Linked DNA regions of Caenorhabditis elegans. The protein of the gene in region 2 interacts with the protein of the main gene of each other region in a pairwise test. Each region holds a gene or a part of one and is shown on either strand. Other genes may lie near its edges.

The links.
Region 1: the proteins of cyb-2.1 (region 2) and gfat-1 interact in a two-hybrid assay, tested with the Caenorhabditis elegans proteins (one large-scale study listed by BioGRID).

Annotation. Positions count from the first base shown.
Region 1 is NC_003280.10:11,587,986-11,599,419, forward strand, and holds gfat-1 (glutamine--fructose-6-phosphate transaminase (isomerizing)), read right to left. Parts: upstream 7,425-11,434; 5' UTR 7,398-7,424; coding exon 6,722-7,397; intron 6,648-6,721; coding exon 6,609-6,647; intron 6,480-6,608; coding exon 6,447-6,479; intron 6,396-6,446; coding exon 6,339-6,395; intron 6,086-6,338; coding exon 5,805-6,085; intron 5,757-5,804; coding exon 4,914-5,756; intron 4,869-4,913; coding exon 4,665-4,868; intron 4,612-4,664; coding exon 4,567-4,611; 3' UTR 4,408-4,566; downstream 1-4,407. Other genes in the region: ints-7 (Integrator complex subunit 7), read left to right, coding at 1-29, 77-157, 201-404; F07A11.1 (uncharacterized protein), read right to left, coding at 539-663, 716-999, 1,147-1,365, 2,017-2,198, 2,256-2,351, 2,423-2,620, 2,683-2,957, 3,236-3,382 and 2 more; npp-5 (Nuclear pore complex protein 5), read right to left, coding at 8,940-9,236, 9,293-9,538, 9,720-10,168, 10,215-11,238, 11,291-11,434.
Region 2 is NC_003282.8:10,981,726-10,991,173, reverse strand, and holds cyb-2.1 (G2/mitotic-specific cyclin-B), read right to left. Parts: upstream 5,190-9,448; 5' UTR 5,173-5,189; coding exon 4,835-5,172; intron 4,747-4,834; coding exon 4,360-4,746; intron 4,316-4,359; coding exon 4,213-4,315; intron 4,171-4,212; coding exon 4,045-4,170; 3' UTR 3,748-4,044; downstream 1-3,747. Other genes in the region: F13H10.5 (glycerophosphocholine cholinephosphodiesterase), read right to left, coding at 1-135; Y43E12A.3 (BTB domain-containing protein), read right to left, coding at 2,119-2,238, 2,292-2,464, 2,508-2,661, 2,711-2,827, 2,880-3,266; Y43E12A.2 (3CxxC-type domain-containing protein), read right to left, coding at 6,592-6,714, 7,436-7,534, 7,581-7,721, 7,834-8,066, 8,232-8,322, 8,989-9,105.

The DNA.
Region 1 (11,434 bases), on a different chromosome or scaffold from region 2:
CGGAAATCACACATCTGGCAAATCATGCGGTATAAGCCTTTCTCAACGAAAAGTCCATAAATTTTATAATTTTCAGCAAAATCAAATTCTGCAAGAGTTAGTTGAGCCGAGCGAGAACAACTACTTCACGGCGCAATTCCTGCTCAATTTTAAAACTGTAAAAATAACCACCAAATCAAAAAAAAAATTTTAATTTTCAGGCATGCGACGTCAAATTCCGAATCGAATTCATTGATCAAACATCACGAAAGCAGTGGAAAGCGTATAATGTGACGACACTTCACTTCACAGTTCGCGAGAAATATTCATCGGTCGGATTCGAGCTGAAACGAGTCGGACATCAATTTCCACCGGATCCCAGGAGGCACTTTCCGAAAGGATCGTTGTTTCATGCTGAGGCGTGAGCAGAGAAATAGAGCATATCGTGAATAATTTTGAATTTGAACCATTTTTCCTTCTTTTTTTATTTAAATCGACACAAAAATAATATTTATTTCGATTTTAAAAATAACTAGAAATTGTTGAAACTTTAATGAAATTAAGAGTGCCAATTAGCTTGATGAGGTAAAATTGTCTCACCACGATTAACAAACAGGGTGGTCTTCCGTTCCATGGGCCGAGCACACCGAGCACAACGACGACAGGAGGTGGTAGCATGGGCAACTGAAAAGTTTCAGATTCATCTAATGAAATTAAATTTGAATTCAAACAATACCTCCATCTAATGCTGCTCCAGAAATGCTCTTCATAGCGTTATCCTGTAAAACTGCAAACTTTCGATCGTATTTCTCATGAGCTTCTCGCCAGGCAGCTTCAACTCTAGGATCCGGTTGAACAATTATCGGACGGCTTTCAGTTTTGGTCAATGGGTACAACATTTTCGAATTTTCATGCAACTGATCTCTCAATTTATCATATTTTGCTCTTCGATTATCTCTCATCACCATATCATCATGAGCTTGACGAGCTTTAAATTCTTCCAGCATTCCAATTGATTGTCTGAAAAAATCTTATTTTTGGATCATTCGCAGCGCGGTTTTACTTCGTGGCCGTGAAATAAGAAGCCTCGGTCAAATCAGTGGCCGAGTTTTTCCTTTTCTCTAGGCCACGTAGCAAAAACCGTTCTGCGTGAAAAAGAAAACGAACTTGAAAGTCTGATTCCTTTCAACTTGATTTGTATGTTTTAACCCCTTCAATCGAGCATCTCTCCATCCATGTTCATCTGGTCTCTCAGCCCACCACAACCAATTTTTATCCGACGGAGCACCGACTCTGCTCATTTCCATTTGGAATTCCAACTGTTTTCGAGCCATTTCTTTAGCATGTTCAATGGATTTTCGTTCCGCTTCTCGAGCATTCGCAAATCTGAAAACATTATAGGCGTAGGTAGGCGTAGGCACTTGAACAGGCATAGCCTATGAGTGCGATAAGATTGAGGTAAGAATGAGGTTCGCGTGTAGGCAGGCATGAGGTAGGCCGCCAGGCCAGTTGGCAAAAACCATGGAATAGGGATAAACTAGGCATATAGGCAGGCAAAATATACGCATGTGATAAGCACAAAGGCAGATAGACATGAGGCCTATAGGCAGGCTCGTAGGCAGGCGTGAGAAATGGAATGGGTAGGATAGATATGAAATATATATATATAGATATGGAATATGTAGGTTTGAATTCGACAATCACTGTAGCCGGCGTGAGATAGGCAACAACTAGGCAAGAGGTAGGCAATCAGGTAGGCATGAGATAAACATTTGGCAGGAGCATTGTGAGGGACCGGTCTTAGAGAACACTTAGGCAAGGTAGGCATGTTCTACAAATGAGGTAGGCGTGGGATAGGCATATAAGGCTTGAACTAGGCATGAAGGTGGTCTAGAGGAAGAAGCCTACCTAGTGCCTTTTCAGTTCTTGCCGCTTTCAAAACAAAACGGTTTTTGAAATTTGTGTGCGACATTAAATTTTAGATTTCTCTGTATGAATCTTGGATCAAAATACTAAAAACAAAAGTAAACAACTTACTCCAGCGCGGCTCTCGCATTGCTCGTCGCATCAATCGCCTCATTTTTCTCAAATTCGGCAATCCGTCTCAATCGTTTCTCTTCGACTTGTCTATCGAGTTCTGCTCGGTATGCATCCTTCCGTGTACGCACTTCAACATCTCGACTTCTAGGAGATTCGTGTCGGAATATATAGTTTTCCAGCTGAAAATATATACAACTGACTCTGAGAAAGAACATTAAAGTGAACAGATTGCGTACTACTGGGGATTTAGGTCTTCTCTTTTTCATCTCAATCATTTCAGCATTCACACGATCGACATGATCTCGAAGAGCTTTATTCCGTTCCGCTTCTTCCTGAAATTAAAAAAATTTATTGTAGAGAAATTAATTATTGAAAATAACTCCCACAATAGGTCATAACTAACCCTTTTAAAAGTTTCTTCCTTTTCCCTTGTCAAATCTTCATACATCTTTGCTCTCTTCATAGTTTCTTCATATTTTCTCCGTTCCTCTTCTGCTTGACGTCTCATTCGATCCATATATGCATCCTCGGCTTGACACTGAGCACAGATTTCATTACCGTAATAGTCTTCATCAAATTTTGTAATTGTTGCTTTGATTTTCTGAAAACAAATTTTTGGTTTTTTAGTGAACTTCTCGTCGTTGGCAAATTTGGTAATCGTACCTCATTACCACTTTCGAATCGAATATTCCCCAGGTTTTGTTCAATCTCAATCATAGGATCCTGATATTGTCGCTCTGCTCCGAATCCATTCATTACACCTCTATCCACGTCTCTCCCAATATTCTCTCCCAAATTGAATTTCATGTTCATTGGAGGTGTAGATATTCCACGTGGCATTGGATCGTTCGGATAGATTTCCGATGGAAGATCCATTTTATAACGATCAATGTTGGGTAAGGAAGTGTCAGCACCACCCATAAGATTGGCGGGAAGAACTGGAAATGCTAGAAAAAATACAGGAGAAAATATTAATCTTTTTTTTTTTGAAATATTGAGATTTGTTGCTAACCTGGCAAATCGGAGATTTGCTAGTCGAATTAAAAAATGTTAAAAAAGGAAAACTTATAAGTTACAATGAAAACACATAAACTTTTAATAAATCGTAAGAAAAACTATGAAAACTTTGAAATTACAGTACTCTTAAAGGCACACAATTTCCGCATTATGAAGAAACCTACAGTAACCCTGATGAAGAAACCTACAGTAATCTCACCTAAACTCGCATCATCTCTTCCAAAATTCGAGATATTCGCCGGAAGATCCATCATTTCTCGACTGGGATCCGGATCTGTCAAATAATGATGCATCCCGGCAATTGGTGGGGTTCCATTCATTGGTGGTGGTGTGTCTAAAGGTGAAACTGAAAATTAATTATTTGTTGTGAAATCTGATTTTCTTAATTCTACATTGTGTTGTATAATTCTTCATCATTCTCGGCTCATCTGGTGGACGGAATCGTGGAGCTTCAAAGTTATCCAGTGCTTCTGAATTCATCGTTTAATTATAGTTTCGTAAAAGATTCGACATTTAATTTTAAAGGCCCACGCTGCTTTTCCAAATGGGTCCCGCCACGATCGCAGATATAGTAGTGTTTCAAATTTCACATATTTGTTGATTTAATATAGACAAATAAGTTTTGTAATTAAGAAATTCCAATTCCGCAAAAAATGTTTTTTTCTAATCTAAAACCAATGCCGGAGGGGGGGGGTGTGCGCCTTTAACTGATTACGGTAGTTTAAAAAATCGATTTCGCAACTTTCTTCTATTTTTATAGGTTTTTTGCTGTTGGTTTATTTGTATTTTGAAATTTTTTGGTCAATATCAAAAAGGGAGCAATCAATTAAGAAAATTAGAGGAAACAACTACCGTACTCCGCTTAAAGGCGCACACGTCTTTTCAAGAAAATAACACCATTTCTTTTGTTTGTTCCAGGACCCAGAAACATAATTTCTATCTATATTCACTTCACATGATTCAAACCTCTTATCTTATCAGCTTCACTCGGCTCTCGATTTCCCATACGATCATAAAAGTAGACTTTTCCGTACCGCATCCGCAATAATTATAATAGTATTTATATAAATAGGAGGTGTCCTAGAAAATTGAAAAACGCTAAACTAATATAATGACTTGTTGGCGGGTGAGCTCCCTCCGAGATTCAGAATTAGTGCACACTTCACTGCACCAACTAAACTTCCGTAGGTATCTACGAAAAGCAGATCTGCACCGGAAAAGAGGTAAACATTCAGTTTTATTTATATTTACTTTTACTCAGCCTACAAGTTTGAATTTTGCTTATGAAAAGTTGAAACTTCTTCGATCCCAGCATACTAGAGGTGTTCCCAGTTTTCTCAATGCTCAACAAGTGCATAGTATGCACTGCATACCGGAAACCACATTTTATTGGTCGAATCGCTGGGTATACCAGATTACATGCAATAAATTAGGGAAGGCAATTGGTGAGGGAAATATAATCACAGAGTGGGAGAAAAGACGAGATGGTGAGAAGGCACTTGGGGTGGTTTGGGCAGAAGACGGGACGCTTTACTCGACGGTAACTGACTTGGCCAAGTTGCGGGGTCGGTCGACCTGAAAATAGATTATACGTGTACATTTCAAGATTAAGACGATTGTAAACTTACATTAGCTCCATTGAGCTCAGCAATGTGATATGAGAGTAGCTGGAGTGGAATGACTGTGAGAATGTTTTGGACACAATCAACAGTTTTTGGTACACGAAGAATATGCTTCATTCCAGCGAGATCGCCTTCTGGAACGGTGCAGTCGGCAATGATGATTGGAGCTCCTTTGCGAGCAACGACTTGTTGAAGTGCATTCAACGATTTCTGAAAAAATGATTTCAATCAAAAAACAATTCAGCTCATTCTTACCTTGTATACGCGATCGTTACAAACAACCATGCAGATGCTGAGGAACTCATCGACCATGGCAAGTGGACCGTGCTTCAGTTCTCCAGACATGATTCCTTCGCAATGCATGTAGGAAAGCTCCTTGATCTTGAGAGCTCCTTCGAGGCATGTGGCAAAGTTCAATCCTCTTCCCATGATGAGAAGTGATTTCTCCTTGTAGATTTGTTTGGCGATATCAAGAACTTTCTCGTCGAGTTGGAGAACTTCGCGGATAAGTTCTGGAAGATCGTTGAGAGCGTCAATGATCTCTTCACGTCTCTTAGCCATGGAGATTCGGTCATCGGAGAGGGTGAGAGCAAACATAAGCAAGGATAGGATCTGAGAAGTGTAGGCCTTGGTAGAGGCGACTCCAATTTCCGGTCCGGCGTTGATGTGAATTCCGCAATGAGATTCACGGCAAATGGATGATCCGACAGTGTTGGTGACTCCAATTGTGAGAGCTCCACGTGGCTTGCAGTATCTGAGAGCCAACAACGTATCGGCAGTCTCTCCACTTTGAGAAATGAAGAGACATACATCATCACGGAAGATTGGGGTTTCACGATCCAAGAAGTCAGAAGCAAGTTCGACGACGACTGGCAGCTCAGAAAGTTCTTCAAGGATCTGACGGCATGCGATGGCAGAGTGATAGGATGTTCCACAGGCTACCATAATCAGACGGCGGCAACGCTTGATATCAGGAAGGTACTCTTTGATTCCTCCTAGAACGACTTGTCCCGATGGAAGAACACGTCCACGCATTGTGTTGACTACCGAATCCGGTTGCTCGAAAATCTCCTTCTGCATGTACGTTTTGAAAGATCCCTGAAAAATATGTTTTTATTCAAGTTATTCCCATTTTCCTATGCAAACCTTCATGATCTCCTGAAGCTCCATCTCGAGAAGCTTTACTTCTCTCTTTTGCTCTCCATTGTCAGCGTGTCGAGAGATGCGATGGATAGTCAGAGCTCCATCCTCGACGAATGCAACGTCATCATCCTCTAGGAAAAGGACTTGCTTGGTATGCTCAATGATGGCAGCAGCATCCGAAGCGACGAAGTATTCAACCTCCCAATCGTCGGAGTCGAATGGACGGACGGCCGTCGTGCTGTCGGAGATCTCCATCTTAGCAGATCCATTAGACGAACGAACGGCTGAAAAAATGGAATTAATACGTTTCACTTAAAATTTGAGATTGGGGATATTGAGATGAGTTAGTTAATTCGCCCAAGGATTTAGAAGTGGAGAAAGAGTTCAAGAATAATCATGCTTCAAATTTCTACCGTTCAGAGAATTCATAAACGCTGACAATCTTCTCTGGGAATCATCTACATTCACCGGCAAGTTGCAAACATCTTGGGAACCTAATATGCTATTAAAAATTCATATGAAAGTGGGAACCCATACCGATTGACAGGTCCAGAATGTTGTTTGGAGTCTCGACGAACGATGTCTCATCTCGCACTGAAAAATTGAATTTAATATCAGAAGAAGGTTGGAAAATGGTAAACTTACAATGAGTAGCGTGGTTGGACATGAACCGACGTCCTGAAAAATCATATTGATTGTTAATAAAATAGATTTTTTTAAAGATCATGCAAGGTTAGGTTAGTTAAGCAGTGATTAAGCATTTCAGGCAACCAAAATAAACCCAGGGAATAGCATTTTTAAATTTACCATCAGTTTGTTTTTCGTCTCCCCATTTCCACCCAGCATCTAAAATGTATGAAATTTTTGAATGTCCGCCTCGAAACGACTTAGAAATTGCACCAAAAGTTTCAAGAACTAACCTTTAGAGAAAGAGACTGGGAAGTGATTTGTCTGGAGTCTGGAGTTGCTCTTGATACCGACCAACAATGGGGATCCACGTCTTGAAGCAACGAGTTGTCCTGGGAATCGAGATGACTTGAATGCAAGAGCGAAAGCTCCTTCCAACTGTTGAATGACAGTCTCCACAAGTTGCCGGAACGAGAAATCCGGGTAACGATCGTGAATGTGTTGCGCAAGCTTCGCGATGACTTCCGTGTCGGTCTCCGACTCAAACTTGTGTCCCTTCTTCTCGAGATACTCCTTGATTTCACGATAATTCGTAATGATTCCATTGTGAACAACGAGGAACTCATTCTTGTCGTTACTGCGATGTGGATGGGAATTGACATCACGTGGAGATCCGTGAGTTGCCCAGCGAGTGTGTGCAATTCCGCAGTGAATGTTGTACTCCATATCCATGTCAAGATCGCTGGAGCTCTCCTTGATGAAATCGCTGAGCACGGACACCTTTCCAGCTTTTCGCAGAAGTGCTACCGAAGAATGTGGTGATTCGATCTCATTGGATCCGTCGATGGCGATTCCTGCAGAGTCGTAGCCTCTGTATTCCATTCTTTGCAATCCTTGGACTAAAATATCCACGATTTCCGATCGTTTTTTCGGTGTCAGGAAGTTGAGGTAGGCGAAAATTCCGCACATTTTGGATGGTTAGTATAGGTGATACCCTGAAAATTATAAATGTTTATGAAAAGGCAGAGATTTAAATAATGCAAATTTGAGGAGAAACGTGGTGAAAATGGAAATTATGTAAAAGCGAACACATAACACGAATATGAATGAATGGATGAATGAGATTTAGAGGAGGGATTGCGACAAGTTCAGTGTAAACATTAGAAGGAATGGGCTGTGATGACCCGAGAAACGGCCGCTCCTCCCGTCTCCGCCGAAGCACCAGATACCATCTTCAACGGCCCGAACGAGGAGCCTCTTGATACTATTCTCTCGTGCCCTTTCAATAAGAAAGAGGCACGAGACGGCAGACACTTTTTGCTGCCTTTTTTGCCGTGTTGGACCACCCCAAAAACAGCACGATTAGGAGGAATTGTGAGAGGAGCGCGAAAGGAGAGAAGCCGAGAGATAGGCGGAGAAGAAGAGGAATAGAGAAACTAGGGAGACGACACGTGGAGCTCGACTCTTTCATTTCAATTTAAACATAAAATTAATTTCCTTCCTACTAGCAGGTCAGGTGTTAAAACAATAAATACACCTCATAACTTTTTAGCCTTTGAAAAATTGATAACGGCATACGGTTCTAATTTCCGGCTGGCGCATCACTGACCAACATCAGGACGAAAATTCTGTGAACCGATTCATCAAAAAATGTCTGAATACGTTGCAAGAAAGTGAAAATAGAAAGATCTCCGGCCAACTGATAACTGATAGCAGTTGGCTGACAAAGGTCAACTTTTAAATTTCTGCCCCACCGTTGCAGATATAAAATATTTGAAGGGAAAATGTTAGATTTGAGATCAAAGCACAAGCGACACGTCCAGCATTGAGAACAGTAAATTTGCATGAGAATATAGAAAAATTTTCTGCGAAAAAGCTGACGTTAAATATACGTTGCGTAGCGGTGAGAATGCAGATAAGGGGTCAACGAACAAAACAATAAGGAGAACACATCGAAAATCAAAAGATAATGAAGAGAACGACTCGCCTTTATAGACATTTTGCCGCCATTTGTTTTAATGAACTCTGCTCTTTCTTTTTTCGAGAACGATCGAAAGATCATCAAAACACAGTGTGTAGTTTGATGCCGCGGGTCTCGCAACGCTCCGGTTGAGACAGGTGTGCGCCTTTAAGTATACGGTAGGTGAGAATCCTCACTGAGGATATTTTCAGGCATGGAAATTTTCAAATTAAATGAAGAAAATATCTAAATCAAAATTTAAACCATCAACCTCTGCACAGAAAATTTTTCCTTTCCAAATATACATGGTAGTCTTGCGTCAGATCGGTAATATAGATCTTCCGCAATCTGATGACCTCTTCTTGAAGAAGATCTTCACGTGAAACCCACAGAAATCAGAAAAATTTGTTATTTTCAAATACTGCACGGATACAATCGTGTCTGTGAAAGATCGACCGGAAATTTAAAAAAAATGAGAAAGAAGTCAGAAATATAGTGATAAAAAATGGTAATCAAAACAGGTATCAAACAAAAAAACAATGAAATAAAAATTATTCGACTTTGAGATTGAGTTCTGCGTAGAAAGCTTTGATGAAAACCATCCATTCCTGATCGAGCCCGAGGTCATTATTGAAGCTTGTGAAGAAATCGTTGAAATTTGTGGTATCGTCGAGTCTCACGGCGGCTTGTGCAAGAAGGATGAAGAATTGCGGGAGGAAGAGATTCCGAATCTCCTGAATTTCTTTCCGGTGTACACGCATTGGATCTCCATTAGCACGTGGGCTCAAAAAGTACTCCGGGCGCACACCAATATTGTTAACCAGCCCACGGAGCATCGGAAGAACAGTCTGAAATTTCAATTTTTTAAAATTTTTTTCACAACAATTTATTCTAAAAATCCTACATCTAAATGTTGTTGAACCATTCCAACTCGCGTATTATGCTCGGCGGCTCTCTTTTTGAGCACCTCTTCCCGCAGAGTTTGCTCAGCACGAGCTCGGACTCTCAGTGAAGCTTCCCAGTCAGCAGCTGTGGTGTTGTCGAGTCGTTTGACTCCTCCGATCATGGAAAGCTCATCATCAGTGATCGGTGTGTACTTGAACATGAGCCCAAGTTTCAGAGCAATAGTGATCATGAAGTTGTTCACATCCTGAAAATTCGGATTTTAAAATGGCCAATATGAAATTGAATATTATTCAGCAGCGAAATTTTGAGTACGGGGTCTCGACACGACAAATTTTTGTTCAATACGAGACGGTTTGCACCTTTAAAGATTACTGTAATTTTAACCAGTGGTTAAAGATTCCGCTGATTTGGATAAGAAATCATACCACGAAAGAGCAGAGCCCATAAAATTCCAGAGCCGCGTGTTCGATTTTATTAATTGCCAGCTGCGATCCAGGTTTTTGCTCAAACAGGGTTCCATCAGTGATCAGTGAAAGTACAGTTGCTTCATTTTCAACAGCTTGTGACAATAGCTTAGGAACTTCGAAATGAAGCGCTTTTCGAATAATTTGCCTAATTACAGACTCGTCAATCGGTGTCGACAGCATCACTTTACGAACTAGTCGATTACATTCTTCAAGAGCAGCCAGTGCAGTCTCTTCTCCACCTATCAAAAGCCAATGCCAGTGATCAATCTGCTCTTCCAAAGTTACAACCTTCGTTTTGTCATCTTTTCTGATTTGCTCAATAAGTGTGCACGCACAGCGTCCGAAATCAATGTCAGATTGTTTCAGCGACTCAGCCAGGATTTCACGTTCTTCATCAGAATCGACAGCTGAAAAGAGAATTTTTTTAAAAATCATCATCAGTTTTTAAATTACCTTTCATAGTCTCCACAATCTCTGGAAGCTTCATATCTTCTGGGAGGAATCTTGAATAAAATGCAGCCATTTTCTTGTGTGATGAGGTTCCACTGCGTGCACGAAGATCATCGAATCCAAGAATAATTACAGCATTTCCATCGTCATTTGGTTCGAAACCACTCGCATAAGAAACTGCGACGAGGTGGAAGAAGATGTCGAGTGCGAGCATGTTCACTTGACAATTTTTATCATTTGGAACAAATTCTCCGACTGTTTCATTTGCGAACTTGTACAGATCTTCAATGTCATCATTGAGCATGTCATCGATCACTCGGAGTAGGATGTATACTTCTTTGGTACGATCAGCCTCTGATCTCAGCTCATCTAAGATTGATTTTGAAGTTAGTGGAACGTTGAACAACGTCGAAATAGTTTCCTGTGTCATGGCTCCCTCGGCGGCAAGAATTCTTGCGAGAACTGCAGAATTTGCATATGCCCATACTTTTTCAATCACTGACTTTCCAGCTTTTAGCATTGGTTGGATATTCCCACGAATCGCAGAAATCAGCATCCAGTAAGCATCATCTTCGCTCCCCTGCGATTGTTCTATCAATTTCTGTGTCATCTGGTAGTACTTTGCGCGTCGAGATCTTTTATATTCCCCAAAGTTCTGTTTAGATGCCTCTAGTGGAATATCAAGTGGGTTCCGGAGCATCGAGTGAAGCTGAAGTTGAGCTCCGATCGCTCCCATTCCTAGATCAATGGCTAAATTCGCAGCTTTGGAAGTTTCTCCACTTCGAATTAATTGGAAGAAAACGTTCATCGCCATTTGCTCGAGAGCTTGATCTTCTTTGGTACCAGGAGCATCTGGATCCAGTGAAGCATCTTTTGGAGCATTGGCTGCTCCAAATGTTGGTCGTTTCAAAGCCATCATTGAATTGATTCTAGAAGATTTGATTCCTTCGAGTTTCCGAACTTTGTCTCCAAGACCTTTTTCATATTGCTGTTCGCTGATCGCTTTCTCACTCCAAAGAAGAAGAGCCTAAAAAATTAGAAATTATGTGTTTAATTGAATAAAAAGTCTAAGATCTTACATAAATCCTTCTAAACTCCACATCTTCTACAACTAGTTTGCTAAGCAAAGAAACTTCCACAGTCTCATCATATTCATGAGCCAACGCGGTATAAATTGAAAGAACACTGGCGATTTGCACGGCTTCATTCGCGTATTTTTGTGA
Region 2 (9,448 bases):
TAAGTGGGAAAATTTATAAAATGTGTTTGCAGCTAGTCCATCAATCACCACTACAGCTAATTTTTGAGAGTTCACAGTTGAAGAAAATAAGAATAAAAGGAGAAAAATGAGACAACTCGGAGACTTTAGTGTCATTTTATTTGATTTTCACATTCTTTTGAACTTCGAATTTGATCTGAAAGTTGATACAATTTTGATTTAGCTAAACAGTGTGAAGATGGAAGAAGTGAAAATATGAAAGGAAACGCTTGAAAGTGTAAGTGGACTTTCAAGAAAGTAGTAGGAAGAAGATTAATTAAAAGATACTTTCGGCATATGAGCATAATAAGAAATTGCACGGGAGGTCAAATGGGTAAGAGGGAGAAGAAGATACAGAGAATATGAAATTAGCATGTTGAACACAACAGATGAAGTCAATTAAAATCGTTTCATACGCAGAAAGCTTTCTTGAACCGAAAACTATGAAAAATGCAATATTCACCTAGAAAGAAAATATCTATTATTTGAAGTTAAAAAATACACTGAAAACGGGCTACCAAATTTTCAACTATATTTTCTCGCAACAACTGTTTAATTTATAAAAATATTTTCAAATCAGTTGACAAGTCCATAGCAGTTAGCTATTAGGTGAGCTTCTCAACAGAAAAAAATTGTCAGAAAATTACAAATGTGTGGCAAGAAGTTGCCAAAATTTGGCATGAAGTTGTTAAAGTTTGGCAGGAATGCTGAGAATATAGACTTTTTTTAAAAGATTTATACCAAGTACCTAATATTTCAAAGTTAGGCGATATTTCTGCCATCTATGAAATGATAAAGCATTTACAAGTTAAAACAACTTGTAATTAGTTGTATAGATCTACCAAAATTATTTTCCACTGTTTTTTAAAAACGAGGGCTCCAGCATGAATTTTCCCAAACTTATATTCTACATTCTATTCTATAAGAACTTCGAAGGTATTTGGTAGTTTATTCTTTTGAAAAAATGATAATATGGTGCACTGCAAATATCCAAAAAAACTTTCTGAAGTTTTTGAATCTATCATTGGAACAGAAAATAATAACTTCAAATTTCAAACCATATTCAGGCCTACAACAATAGAAGAAAGAACTCCGATGAAAATGAAAATATTCAAAGAGAAAAAAGTCCATATATGTTGCGAGTTGCTCTATTTCGTGAAGCTCATCCATCTTCCATACCTCCCTTCTTCTTGTAAAAGAGTGAAGAAGGAGGATTTAATTGTATTACCGATGACAAATTGGTAAGAAAACCCAGAGATAATGAAAGTAGAATAGAGTTAGAGATAGAAAGAAGAAAAAGATTTCAAAATGGAAAGACATACTTTCGAGAACTCTTTGAGAAGTTGACACAATTCTGACACAAATTTTGAAATTTAAAATTTCTATAGAGACTATAACAGGTTTCACGAAAAGATTTCGGCACATTTCTTTGAAATTTAATATTCGATGGATTAGGGTATTGTTATACAAATCGAATAGAAAAAGGAAAAGAAATTGAGAGATTGAGAGAGTGAAAAGATCAGAATGTTTGTTCTCAAAGGCAAATGAGCTCTTATGAGATCTCAACGGAGGATCTATCGCGCAGGCGGGAAACTATGTGTAATATAGAAATTGGTAGACAATAAACAATAATATTCATCAATTGATAAGCATTTTAAATTTTATTCTAGAGGATTAAATATATACACATTTTTTTTATTTTTGAGATGAAATAATAATACAGCAACTAATATTATTTCGAATAAAATTCGAAATTGGAGACAAACCGCGAAATTGAAATTTAACAAAGTTCATGTCTTATCATTGAATGAATCTACTCGAGCACTCAAATTACACTGCATTAATTGCACACTTTCGAACACACAAGAACTTGTCAGCTGTCTCTTCTGAACATTTTGAACTACATATGTTGCAATTCTAACTTTCTGTAATGAAAATAGAACAAATTTCATTATTAAAACGATGTGAATAACAATGGTACAGTAAGCATGGTAAAAATATGACAGATTGTTTGGTGAGGATCTTTGCGATATAAAGCTGATAGAAGCTTCTTTTAAAAAAATAATGACGTGATTAGAATTATGAATAACGTGTGCAGGTCTACAGAGTGCTTAGAATGCGGTCCAGAATCAGGGCTTTCGTCTTGCAACTTAATACTTGAATTTGGTCTTGGCATTTCTTTATTTCTTCTAAAGATCGCATCTTGGCAAGTTTGGAGCCCTGAAATTGTTTCAATTCATCACCTGATAATAAATTAAAAAAAAAACACTCACCATCAACTCCCGTAGCCCGAACGCTTGTGCCAAGTGAAGTGTGTCTCCTAATTTGTGCCGCCCGTATTTAACCAGCCATTTGTCAGCAACTTCCAACACGATTGAAATTTGAAGTGATTTTCCAATTCGAAGAATCCGTTGAATGTGTTCGAATTGCTCAACCAAATCACTCTCTAGAAAAAAACTGGTTTATTCAACATTTTTAATTCAAAAAACCTTTGATCCACTGCTTTGGAGGCAGATGAGGTGGATAGATAATGTTAAGAATTCGACGAAAATCCGGCGCAGAGATATTGCACAACTCCAAGGATCTTTCATCGAAATTAGTGACAAATGCTTCCAAGAAGATAGGCGAAGCCATTGAGAGAATCTTTAAAATAATAGTATTGGAATTTCATTTTAATGTTGTTCAAATTTACCATTCGATTTACATGGAATTTAACGCCATCCACCAGAACTATAGTGTCTGAAAAAATGGGGATTGGTCGTGCGAAGTCGATGTAGTTCCGAAGTTGAATTCCTTTTGACTGATTTATCTGGAACACTTTCACAAAACGTAGATGAATTTGAAAATGCATTCAAAATTACCTGCATAAATATGTGAACACAGAGATGGATTTCTGAAGAATTTAATTTGCCCACAACCGTTCCACAGTTGGGAATCTCAATTTCTTGACCTTGATTCGAAAATTGGGAATCTACTTGTACCTCGCCTTTCAGCCAGTCTTGTTCAAAATGAATTTTGACTGTTGCATCCATACTCCAGATATCATCAACATTTCTCCTCCGGTGCCGAAGCTTGATCGAAACTACGTCGGTTCCAAGTTCTTCGCTCCATTCGGCATGCAATTTCATTTTCCAGTTTGTGTCGAACATGTGGAAATCAGGGAATTTAATTGAATCGAGTGACAGTCCTTTTCCAATAATTACTCGAGTGTCATTCACCTCTACAAAAGTCCCCGGTGCCTCCACCATTGATACCTGAAAATGTACTCAAAATAATTATTAATTAATACTTATTTATGAGGAGGAAATAAAATGAGATGTTTATAAAACTTATTGATCGGAACTCTCAGTCAGTGAAATTTTGAACTTGATATGATTTTAAGAAACGCTGAATAGTTTTATTAGTTTTTTGAAAACTACCAAGCACATAAAAATTCAGCGTTTAAAAATGAAGACATCTTTTAAGTAAAAATTTTTTAAATCTGCGCAAGCACTCGAATTTTCAGGAAAAAAATGGAACGCACCAGGTGCTAAAAATAAATATGATGATAGTCCTCGCGGATTACACGAAGCATGGAAGAGGCTTTTAATGTGGCCGTCGGTTTTGAAAACGCGCGCTGTTCAAAAAATATTACTTTCCCAATTTTTTAATTTTTTAGAAAAAGGCAAATAAACTATTTAATGCAAGATTAGCTTGTATCTGGTTGTTTTAATAATGTTGTAAATTTCTACAATTTAGTACAAGATTTATGCTTATTTCATTTAACATTATTTAATAGCACATAGATTTCATCAGCAAGTTTTTGCTCATTCTAGTTAAAATATCAGATTTGGACAGGAGTGAAGACTAAATAAGTTAGTATGAGATAGATACAAAAGAAGGTGCGAAAAAGATTTGATACGATGTGTTAGAGATTTCGAAGATTGGGGAAATGGAACAGAAAAAGTACATGAATATAAGCCGAAGGTAAGTGCAATGGGGAAACAAGCAGAACACAGGAACGTATTGGGTGATGAAGTATAGTTCTCATTCCATTTCTGATGTTTCAGCTTCTGAAGCCTCAACGTTGCGCCCCATCCGGTGAATTTTCTCCAAGATTTCGTCGGTCATCAAGTAGGATACTCGTCCAAACTTGCTCGACTGGTACTTTTCCTGAAAACAAAACTGAGTAAACATTTTGTAAAAATATATTACTCTAATGGCGCAAAGCTTCTGATGTCTGAAGTTTTTATATGCGACTTGAGCGAGCAGAGCGATAGCATCATAAATATCTTGCTTGGAGGCTCCTAATTGTTTGCTGAAACAAATTCTTGTAAAATTTTCGAAAAAAATTGAATCTACCGAATCATCGATGCAGCAGTCTTCGGATTAATTCCATCAACGGTGATAACATTGAGAGTGATGATCATCGAAGCACTGGCAACGTGCGACCTTGGAACCGTAGACATGACCGAATCGAGCAATGCGAGTTCTCCGAGACACTTGGAGATATTGTGCACATAATAGAACGCTTCCTTATCGATTGGATTGACGTCATTCTCTGTGAGAGTTTTTGAAATACAGCGGAGGAAGACAAGCGAAGATGGGCAGGACAAGTCAAAGTTCAAGGCGTTGAGGATGGTCTGTTCCATAGCCATTATCTGCTTCTTGCTGAATGTGTTATCAGTGATCATCTCGTATTCGAGGATGTCTGGCAAGTAAATATCTTCGAATTTGGAGGCAACGAACCTGAAATCATTAATATTGCATAAAAACTATTGTTAATTTTCTGATCTACAAAAGATTATCTATAATTTTACAAAAAAAACGATCTTACAAAGCTGCAACACCGAGAAGCTGGAATTCCGCCTTGGAGACAATGTTCTTCACGATAATTCGATCCAGAACGAAAATCGTCAGGTGAAGCGTCTCAGGGGTGAGGTGGAAGCGAAGATGAACTTGGATAAGCCAGTCAACAAGGATGCGGCGCATCTTAGAATTAACATTTCCTCCATTTATGAAGCTGTCGTCAAGAACATATTTCTTCTCGTGATGAACAAGGTAGTTGTAAATGTCTTCAGCCATAGCGATACAATTCAACACTTCCTCCAGGTTTGTTCTTGGCCCAACGGCATTTTTCGTGGTTTTTCTAATGCTTGTAGTAACTCGCAACATTTTATCGAGACCTCCGGCTGAAAAAATTAGTCTTAAAAAAAGTATTATACAAAACTTTAGATAAAAATATATGAAGGAAGAATTAGTATTTAACAAAATATAGGCAAATTGCAACTATCAGGAAAAATAGATAAATTGGTTTTGAAACGCCAAAAATTTAGGAAAATGAAAAAGGAGCCACACACAAAAAACAGAATACAAATTGTGCTGCGCGCGCGCCAGAAAAAAAAACTTTTTTTCAGGTATGATGTGCAGGTGTGGTGGTTTACTGTAGCGGGTTAGAATTTCAAGTCTAGATTATCAATAAATTTAAAATGGACAGAACTTCTTCAAATTTTCATATTATTTTTTACAGTGTATAAGTCGCTGCTTTGAATTTCAAAAAAAAAAAGATGACAGTTTTCAATATTTCATAGCGACTCTGGCAGTTCACCAAAAATAGTGACTCTGGCAGTTCACTAAAAATAGTGACTCTGGCAGTTCACTAAAAATAGTGACTCTGGTTGTTCACCAAAAATTGTGACTCTGGCAGTTCACCAAACATAGTGACTCTGGCAGTTCACTAGCTCTAAAGTTTCCATTCTAGGTCCAATATTACAGTGCTTCGTTACAGTACTATTTTAGAAGGGGTAACGAGGAATTTTTTGGAAAAAAAATCGTAAAGAGAGTAACGAGGATTTTTTTTGAAAAAAATCTGTAAGGGGGGTAACGAGGAATTTTTTTGGAAAAAAAAATTGTAAGCGGGGGAACGAGGAAATTTTCGCGAAAAATAGTAGGGGGGGGGGGGGGTAACGAATTTTTTAATCTATGTGTTCCCAGAATAATTTACTCTCTGAGTTCACTAATAAATTTACTCTCTGGGTTCACTTAAAATTTTAAGAATATTTCAAATATATTTCAAATATATTTCAAATATATTTCAAATAGAAAAAAAAACAAGACTTCTAAGTGGGTGTGTTTAAGATTTCTATATAATTAAAGTTTTATTCTCAATACACTTTTATTACTCTCTTGAAACCTACACTTATTATTACAAGACCGGGGTGTGAATGGTGAAAAGAAAACAATTATAAAATTTTTACACAGACAAAGAGTATAGAGATGAAGAAGAAATAAAAGTGATCATCAAATATATAGAAAGAGTTTTTCAGGATGAATAAATTCAGAAATTTACAGAGTACCTGGAGACAGTTGAGAAAGTGGTCGGGCGGCATGGAAAGTGTGGGATGGGAAAGGGAAAATGGTTTAGGAACGACATGTACACACAAAATAGAAAAAGTGGAGAAGAATTGAAAGCTCTCTGATTTTCATAGAAATCTAGCAGAAATTTTGTGAAGAAAACAATATGATACAAATAGGATGGACAAATGGGTTCCTATATCGACTAGAGAATGTTATTTTGTTTCATTGTCAATAAAATCAATGACGACGTGATATCTCTTCGTGTTTCCGTGCTGGAGGTCTTCCGTGTCCAATTGGGGCTACTTTTGTGACATTTTGAGCCTTGATGAGACCAAGTGTCACTGCTTTTTCTACGGGCAACTGAAAAAAAAAAATAAAGTTGAATAATTTTTATAGAATTTTAAATGTAATTTCTCAGCTTTGGAAAATTAAAACCAGACATTCGTTCATGAATATTTCAAAAAATGTTCAGTTTTTTTCGAATTTACCGTTAAAGTTTTGGTAAATTTCCTAAATTTCAAAAAAAAACATTTACTTTTTGAGAGAAACGAGCACTGCTGGTTTTAACCTTACATTATTTGAATTCAAATACAAATAGTTAAAATATAAAAACAATTACATGTTGAATTTCAAAGTTAGGGATAACTAAAGATTGAGTAAATGCCACCTTTGGACTGTAACTAAAAACATAACAAAGTGAACAATTTGTGAATTATTGTAATATTATATTTGGTCAACGCTTCATAAATGATTGAATTAGAAAAGCAGTTAATCAAAACTAGCATGTTTGGGTTACTGTATGTGGTTGTTTAGTGAAAAAATGCCAAGATATGGGTGGGCCTGTTTGTTAATGTGTGAATTTTGTTAACCATAAATTTATTTTAAACGATAGAGGTAATGCCGAACATACTGCACAAACGTCTTCGGATTGAGATTAAAATTTACGCTTTAACTAGCTTAATGGAATCATCAGGACACTCAACAGTTGGCAGAGCACTTCAAGTTTACTAGATGTTTTCCTTATCACGAGATTCAGAAAACTCATTAGCTGACACTATTTTCTTTCGAATTCAATACTTACTTGTTTGTGTGGAAATACTGGAACATGACACTTTATACAACTTTGTGGTTCGTTTGCAACACTGTTTTGGCTGTTCCACTTGCGTTTACACAGTTGACACTGAAACATTAACAGTCATACATGGAATCGAAATTCCAAAACTTACAGTGAACTCTCCATAACACTTCTTTCTGCCTTGGTAAGGTGTCAGCTCATCATATGGAGTGTTGAATCGCTGTGGACAGTCGGAGATGTAATGATGTCCTGTAGCGTAGCAGATGTGGCACTGGTAGCGTGGTGGAGGGGTCTGAAACGTTTTTTCGATAAAATAAAATATTAATCTCCATATTTGCAAGTCAAAAATTAAAATTTTCTACAGAATATTCTAAATTTCCCTCAATTTTCATCCCCTCACCAACCTTCTTTGGAGAAGACAAAAGTTCTGCAAAACCAGCAATTTCTGCCATCGAAAATCCATCTACTGCAGCAAGACCCTGAGCAGATGTCTGTGAAACTTGTGCTTGTTCACGTTGTTGTTGAACTTCTGGAACAGGCTTCACAGCCTGCGGACTCGGTGAAACTCCAAAATGACGAGTGATTTCTTCTGGACTTTGTGCTGAAAACGCTCGTTGGACTTGAAGCGGAAGCACAGCTGAAATCAAATGTTATTCCGTTGAAATTTAAATGCTCTTTACAATTTTTTGGATTTCGTTTTTTTTTCGACTGCAAAATGCAGAAAATATTAAAGTATCGTTCAAAAAAATTTGCATTACTCTCGCTTTTTCAACTTATCAATGATAAAGAAAAATAAACTTACAACTGAATATATCATTTGAAGGTGACGCTAAAGGTGTTCGGGTCGGACTACCATATCCGCTGCTACCTGACTCATCATTGATATTTTGAGCCTGAAAAAAAAACAAATTATTCGTGATCCACATGTTTCAATCAGGAAGTGAAAATATTCATTCAGTTTTTGCTTTTTTCCTCGGGGGAAAGATATACATATGTACATTTCCTTGTTTACTTTTAGAAATTATAGAGTGGAACTGATGCATGAGGATGAGACTTAAGGGATTACACCATTGAATTAATTTTCATAGATTTTTATTCTACTTTTAAAATTTAAAAAAAGTTGTTTTCTTATGTTTAAATTATTTTATCTGAAAACTGAGTTTTCACCACTTTTTGAAAGAAAACATTATAAAAAATTTAAACATTTTCTTATGATATTTGAGCACTATAGGAGTGGCTTGAAAAAATTTTCTCACTGACAAAAAAATCTTTCTAAAAATTGAATAATTACTCTAATTTCTGAAAAAAATTGCGGTCTATAAGCGCTTATCTGATAAGTTTTTTTCATCAATAAAATGATTTTTTAAATCAAAATTTCATATTTCTATAATCATTTTTTTTCTTCATTTACATTTAATAAAACTTTCCACCAAATTTTTGAAATTGAAAACTGTTACGTACTACTACTATATGGCTATCTCGAAAAAATTTTAAAAATATATTTAAATTTTTCAATTTGTGATCAGTGAACGTAAAGTTCAAACGAAAAAAAATCTCACCTGTGACATAATACGTGTTGGCGGTGATGATCTTTCGCTTGACGACGAATTTCCCGAATCAACATCTTTCAAGTTAAAGACGGCCAGATCGAGTGCCAGACGGTCATAGGCAAACATTCTGAAAAATAGACATGTATATTTTTCTACAAAAAAAAGTAATGACAATGTACTTATAAGGAATTTTTGGAGAAAAGCAAGGGAAAAAAGGGCAATACTATTTTAATAATAAGGTGTGTAGAGTTCAGTTTTTGGAGAGGGGTAATCAGCGTATATCAAGAGTTCTGAAGTTTTTTATGATAATGTTTTTGGTTTATGAAAGATGAATAAAAAGTTCATGTACTTTTGAGGCGAAAGTTAAGAAAATCAAAACAACCGGAAATATAATTTCAATCAGAATAACAGTATTTACTATTTGAACTGGTAGAGAGCATGAAGGTGAGAGAAACCCAGAGAAAACAAG